2 linked regions of the Kluyveromyces lactis genome follow. The protein of the gene in region 1 interacts with the protein of each later gene in a pairwise test. Links are inferred from orthologs where the notes say so. Each region holds a gene or a part of one and is shown in the gene's direction. Other genes may lie near its edges.

What was found. The genes of interacting proteins can lie anywhere in the genome.
Region 2: the proteins of VPS45 (region 1) and PEP7 interact in binary tests that used the Saccharomyces cerevisiae proteins (3 or more experiments, as listed by UniProt). The link is inferred for Kluyveromyces lactis from reciprocal best matches to the Saccharomyces cerevisiae genes VPS45 and PEP7.

The regions. Positions count from the first base shown.
Region 1 is NC_006041.1:1,671,697-1,675,536, reverse strand, and holds VPS45 (Vps45p), read left to right. Parts: upstream 1-1,462; coding exon 1,463-3,196; downstream 3,197-3,840. Other genes in the region: TCO89 (Tco89p), read right to left, coding at 1-1,105; CTI6 (Cti6p), read right to left, coding at 3,274-3,840. UniProt on the Saccharomyces cerevisiae protein: Essential for vacuolar protein sorting. Function in membrane traffic between the Golgi and the vacuole.
Region 2 is NC_006040.1:1,128,055-1,131,437, reverse strand, and holds PEP7 (phosphatidylinositol-3-phosphate binding protein), read left to right. Parts: upstream 1-1,308; coding exon 1,309-2,883; downstream 2,884-3,383. Other genes in the region: KLLA0_D13200g (uncharacterized protein), read right to left, coding at 1-1,106; NMD2 (Nmd2p), read left to right, coding at 3,166-3,171, 3,255-3,383. UniProt on the Saccharomyces cerevisiae protein: Required for vacuole segregation and vacuole protein sorting. Possibly part of a complex which tethers the vacuole membrane to microtubules, either directly or via kinesin or dynein-like motor proteins.

The DNA.
Region 1 (3,840 bases):
CATTCAGAGCAGTGTTGTTGCTATCAGGAATCATATTGCCATTCTTACTGGAGGAGGAACTGTCATTACTATGGGGATCCTCAGGAAACTGTTCATCAGTTACAGCGCCAGCTTTTGCGAATGAATATCGCTTAGGATCATCACTACCAATATCCTCATTTGCTTTTTCGTTTGTTGCTGTATGTGTAATTCCGTCAATAATATCTTCTTCAGTATAACGACGCACTCCTTCATCGACGGCAGTGTTCGCTGCTATAATATCCTCATGCTCCGTAGTTTCCACATTATAAGATTTCTGCAGATTACCGTTTCCATTATTGAAATCAAACATATGTTGCCTGTGGCGTCTTAGACTATTCGTGTTCGATATAGTGTCCTGATTGCCAGGGTCAATAAGGTCATCTTCCCTGTCAGGAGCGTCAATTTTGTCATTATCCATTGGGCTCACAGCTCTTGATGAAATATGATCATCATCTGCATCAACTCTGTTTCTAAGCCGTGACGGTGGTTTATAGCTCAATGGCCTTTGTAGAGGTCTACCAGAATCCACTCTTAACCCAGCTCTGTCCTGAAAATCATTGATGCTATGCATCGAGTTCCTCTGAGTTGTTGAATTTTTGCCCGTTCCATTTATTGTCTCATCATCTGATGCATCATCTCCTTCTATATCGGTGAAAGACTCTACCTCTTCATCAGTCATAGAATCGTTATCCCCAGAATCGTGAAGATCTAGGATGACGGACTTGGAGTTCCTATCACTAATTAGGCCCTTATGCTTCATGCTGTGACTATTCTGGTGTAGCACAACTGGATGAGATGATGTTCTTACCAATGCCGTCATACTGAGACCACTGTGTACCGTGCGTCTGTTCAATGAGTCCGAACTCTTCGATTTCTTCATAGGATCGAAAAGTCCTCTATTCAATGCATCGTGGCTTCCTACCTTGTGTAATTTCTGTAAGTTCTTGAAACTGGTGTTGCTCTTGCTCCTAGATTTTGCAGAGAACTGTTTAGGTTTTCCATGTCCTTTCTTCTGCTTCATATACTGTGATAGACTGGTATCTGAATTAGTCTTCACAGGCTTCACACGGGAAATTGTGGCCATTGTTGTAAAGAATAGCCAGTAGCCTCAACTTAAGAATTATTACCTTGACTGTACAGAATTGTGGAAAAATTGCTATTTCCCACCTAAATGTAAAGTTTGGAATCACAGGCTATAGCAAGATTGTTGTTCCTGTGTTTGTTTGTAGTTAAACAAAGATGGATTGATGTGTGCCAGAATCTTAGTTTCAACTCTTTTTGAAAATAAGTATTAAAGGAGAAATGACCTTAAACTTTTGCATGGAACAAAGTAGCAGTGAGAAACGGTAGATTAAGGCTGCTGTAGCGCGTGCCAACGGTGAATCAGCAATTAAGATATCCAAGTTCTTTTGAAATTGAGAGGATAGAGCACTTTTTCGTAATGAATTTGTTTACGGTTGGTGATTATTATATCAGCAGAATCGCAAATTTCCAGTCCAAACCGTCGGACACCTCGATACAGGAGAAGTCGAGAGTAAAGGCATTGATTTTGGATAATGACACACTCTCTACGATATCGATGTGTACTACTCAAACCGAGCTATTAAAGCACGAGATTTACTTGGTCGATAAACTTGAGAATATTCACAGAGATCCAATGCCACATTTGAAATGTTTATGCTATTTGAAACCCACTGAGGATACGATTCAAGACCTATTACACGAATTACAGGATCCCAAGTATGGCGAATACCAGATTTTCTTCAATAACCAGGTGAGTAAGTCCCAGTTGGAACGGTTAGCCGAAAGAGATGATATGGAGGTTGTCACACATGTAGAAGAAGTTTTCCAAGACTACCTAATTGTGAACGAGGATGTCTTCACTTTAGAGATCCCGTTGTACAATCTTCTCCAAAATCAATTGGTATGGGATCCAAAGGGATTGCAGGAGACGTCTAACGGGTTAATCTCATTGCTACTATCGTTAAAACTAAATCCGACAATTGCGTATGACTCGGATAGCAAATTGTGTCAAAAGTTAGCTAAGGATTTAGAGTATGAAATTAAGACAAATGAAAGGCAGTTATTTGATTTTCCCGTCAGAGATTCGAATCCGTTACTAATTTTACTTGACAGGAAATCGGATCCATTGACACCATTACTTCAACCGTGGACCTATCAATCGATGATAAATGAATATATCGGAATAAAAAGAAACTTGGTAGACCTTTCGAATGTACCAAATATCGATCCCGATTTGAAGCAGGTTGTACTCTCTTCAAAACAAGATAAGTTCTTCAAAGAAACAATGTATATGAATTTTGGTGATTTGGCAGATAAGGTGAAGAACTATGTTACTCAGTATAAAAATAAGACCAACATTACCAAACAAATCAATACGATAGAAGATATTAAAGAGTTCATCGAAAAGTTCCCCGAATTTAAGAAACTCTCAGGCAACATTTCAAAACATATGGCCATTGTTAGTGAATTAGATAGGCAATTACAACTGAAGAATATATGGGAAGTCAGTGAGCTAGAGCAAAACCTCTCTTCACATGATGACAATAACGATGACTTTGTAGAACTGAAGAGAATTCTAAACTTACCAACCTTAGAATCATATTACAAATTAAAATTATGCTGCATTTTTGTTCTACGACACGGCAAGAACGAATCTAGAGTTTCTGAGTTGGAGAATATTCTAAGACAACAGTGTGATCCCACACAAATTTCTCTTTACTTTCAATTTAAACAGAGATTTGGGTCAATATTCAATAAACACAAAGCTCCTCAGGACAATGATTTGATTAGTGGATTAACCAAGAAATTCAACAGATTAGGCAGCACCAGCGCTGAAAATGTGTTTATGCAACATGTTCCTGAATTGACAACACTTCTCAGCGATTTGGATAAAAACAAGTTCCCACAAGAGGGAGTGACTCTTTTAAACCAAAATATTGACCCTAAGACATATATGCCACAAGATGTTGTTATATTGATCGTCGGAGGCCTCACTATAGAAGAAGCGCGCGCAGTACATCAATTCAATGAGAAACAGAGTAAAAATAAGGACAATTGCAGAGTTATCATTGGAGGAACCTCGATTATTTCTACAGAGCAATTTTTAACAGATGTTTGCGCCGTTAATGATAAACCAGTTGACTTATTATGAACTTACGTATGTACTTCAGATGTAGAATTAGGTAAGGAAATGTATGAAACAAGAAAAGAACACTCTCTATCATGCTTTTAAGAAGCTGGACTAAACTTTTGCTCCCAAAGCAGTAATTTCCTCGTTAGCTCATCCATCGTTTTGAAGGATTCGTCGTAACTGGAGAATATTTTATTAATATTTTCCAGGAATTCTTCGTTTTCCACAAACTGGCACAACTGATCCCGTTGACGTTGGTCATTAGATATTTCTAACTGTGTCCTTGAGATAAATTCCAGAATAGCGTTAACTCTTCTTCTCATTTCATGCATAGTGGTCCTCTGAGAGGGAATCCTGGGTTTTAGAGGCTTGTTGATTCCGATATCATTAGATTGTCCATTAGATTTCGACAAGTTTGAACTTCCAGAGGAACCCGATCCTTTTGAGCTGCTAGCTTTAGAATTCCTTGCAACTCTTCCACTTGAGGTCTTGTAAATCCTTGAGTTACTTTGCGTGGTTGAACCATTGCTCTTACCTCTTCTTGATCTTTTTGATTTGGAGTCATCTTCGGAACCTGATGGCGATGTAGATTTTGTTGTCGTTCTAGCTCGTTTTCTTGATTGACTAGCTGCTTCATCAGCTTCAGATCCTTCCACTTCTGGAGA
Region 2 (3,383 bases), on another chromosome or scaffold:
CTAAAATCTGTTGGAAACTTAAATGAGTGTACTATAATTTTAGGCACTTTTACAAGCCACACGTCAGTCAATTTATAAACACAGTAAACCAAAAAAATCACCTGAAACATCCGCTTTAAACTCCTAAGCTCTTTTGGACCCTGCAAGATACCGCTTAATTTCACCAGTTCAAGTTGATACCATGCAATTCGTTCTCTCAGTTGTACTGTGGTCATGATGTCAGCTTGGTTTGAGGAAGAAGTGAGCCTACACAACAACGAGGTATCTTTCTCAATACATTCTTCATAATTCCTGATTCGATCCCGTATCACAGACTCACTAGACCACAACAGATCAACATTGTTATGTATAGTGTATTTTGTATCTCTTTTGTTCCGATGTCTAAAATATTGATAGGCATAATACGGTGTGGAGACTGATGCCAATCCGGACAAAATTCCCATTACAGTCACACCGATCACTGATGCCTTAGTCAATAGATTATATGTGTAGCCAAACGGTCCAATGGTAAGGAAATGCAAGAAAGTTAGCCATAGAATAGTAATGCCAATGGTTACCGGCACTAATTTGTGCATGCTGACCTTGTCTTCGAAGAATTTCGTCAACAAGAACACCAGTATCAGGAAAGGTTGTATCAAAATCAATGAGATGAACAATAAAGCTAACAAGCCTGGCCATATAATTGACGTCACCAAGTTAGCCTCGGCATTGGGGTCTGCTACTTTTATCTGCCATAATACAATTTCAACTGCTACAACGTAAGCAGAAAATGTAGCACAAAATATGACTCGTACTGCATTGTAAACCTTTCTAGAAGACAACGAATACTCGGAATAGAACTTGTGAAAGAAGCTACTGTTTGAATCTGGCAAAGATATCACAGTAGCAGGATCTGACTCATTGTTCGTTAATGTAGAAGATGGTAGAATATCAAATAACTTCTGGATTTTAAACCATAGTACATGATATGATCTATCGAAAACCAACCAAAACGTTAATAGACAAAACAGCAGAATGAACATATCATCAAGGATCAATTGGCTTAAACACGTTGATCCGTTCGGAGTAGTAATAAGTGTTGTATAGACTAATGTAACGTGTCTCATACCATTACGCAAAGGTTTTGTTAGATCGTCAAGCTTAATGTTCTCTTTAATTGCATTTGAAAAGCATGAAACGAAAGTTAACGATTCGAAGCTTTTATTCCTAAGGGGAGGAAGGAACTAAGTCTCACAGTTGGATTATTCAAGCTAGTTCCTTTCCATGGGATTTATGATGGTGAGGTAGTATATCTATTTATAAAGCCCAATGACAGAAGGAAATGGAAGGTGGTTGGGCTCGGCGAGTTCGACTGGACAACATGATAGAAATGTCGAGGCCGTAACTTGCCCAGTTTGCGGAAATGAGTTGAAGAGTTTGAGAAAGCTCAACGTCCACTTGGACAATGTACACGGTTTTAACGATGAAAGTGCGTCCGATGTCGATAGCTCAAGAGAGTCAAGTGTCATTGGTTTGAACACATTGGTTCAAGAAAGGACTCATGAAAGACAGAGTAAGGGGAAATTAAAGATGAATACATCTCACTGGAAGAAACCAGTAGAAGGCAAATCGGTATGTTTTGAGTGCGGTTGTAAGTTAAACGCCAGAAACGGTATGATCAATTGCCGCAAATGCGGCGAACTTTTCTGTTTAAGGCATTGTAGAAATGCCATCAAGTTGAATGAAAACGGTGAATACGATCCGGCGAGCAATGTATGGTGTAAATGTTGTCACAAGTGTTATATCAATAGGAAAGGTTACAATGACTACGGACTGACTAGAAATATAACACAAGCTTTCGCTAAGATAAGAAAGTTGAAGAACGAGGATGGAGAACTTATCACTTTGCAGCTAGAAAACAGGCTATTGAGACTAATAAATGGGATAATTCAATTACATGTACGACATCAGTCATCGGTCTTTGCAACGTTCAGGATCAGAGCAGGAATTATAGCTTTGGAACGATCAATCGTAGAGTGGAAGGATGATCAAATGGCAACCCAATGCGGCATATGCTCTCAGCCGTTTGGACTCTTGATGCGGAAACATCATTGTAGATTATGCGGTCAGATCGTGTGCGATAGACAAGAAACTCGATGTTCCAGCGATATTCCAGTCCTGAACCTGATGAGTGCGGCCCCAGACCTTTCCTTCGAGAATGTCGGGAACTTAAAAGCAATATCAGACCTTTCTACAGGAGTTAGAATTTGTTCCTCCTGTCTGAGGTATGTCTTTGCAAAGCGTAAGCTCCAATTTAGTAAGGCATTGAAACTACCGGAAATTTTACAACAGTACGAAAATCTCCACAACCTCGAAACGCTTGTAGTAAATTTACTCCCCAGATTCCAGAAAGCATTAGATTCGATACATAATGCACCCGCTTCAGATGAGACTGCGATTCAAAACCTAGCACAATTAAGAAGAAAGCTATTACAAAATTTAACGCTTTATGACAAATTATCAAAAAGCATTGTTCAGTTGGATACAAAATCAACAGCAGAGAAGAAAATACAACAGTCAATTGCCCTACATGCATCAGCGTTCATCGAGGAGAAAATGCTACCCTTGAAAAAAATACCAGAAATCTTGAACCCTGTGTCACAGAAAGTAGAAGTCACAACATCATCGGATCTTTTGTTCAATAATTTAACAATTGCGGAAGTAAAGAAGTACAGAGAAGAACTTATGGTTTTGAATGAACAACGATACTTAGTCGAAAATATGCTTAATTCAGCTGCCAAGGAAAGGCGCTTCGAGGAAGCGATATCCTTGAAAACTAATCTTTCAGAAATTGATCAGAACATAGTGCATTTAGAAAGTAAGCTAGGTGATGAAGGCTTTTAAAATTATTATTTAACACTCAATTAGGTGTATATTCTATTGAACCATATAAACACTCTTCTATCACAAGCACGATAATATAAATGCAACCAAAACTCTATCCGTTTCGCTCTGTAACTTATTGTCGAGATGCCAGTATGAGAAAGCCCTTTGAATAAAAAAAAAATCCTGTGAAATGTTAATTCTACCAAAGTCATCGAACAAAAGTTCTGTTGAAATCACGTCACAGCGACAGCAAGAACTTTACGCACCGACTTTGAACCTATCCAATCGTCAAATAACATAATGAACGTATGTGTACGCTTTTAAGTGGTCGAGAGTTTTCGAGAATACTAACAGAAAGCCTTGCTTTTATGGATTGAATTTGTGTTTAGAATGAATGGAGATCAAGCTTGAATGAAATTAACAGTATGGCGTGGACCGGGATTGACGTATTCCCTGATAAAGCCAAGAAACTTGATTCTAGTATTAAGAGGAATACGGGTTTCATTAAGAAGTTGAAG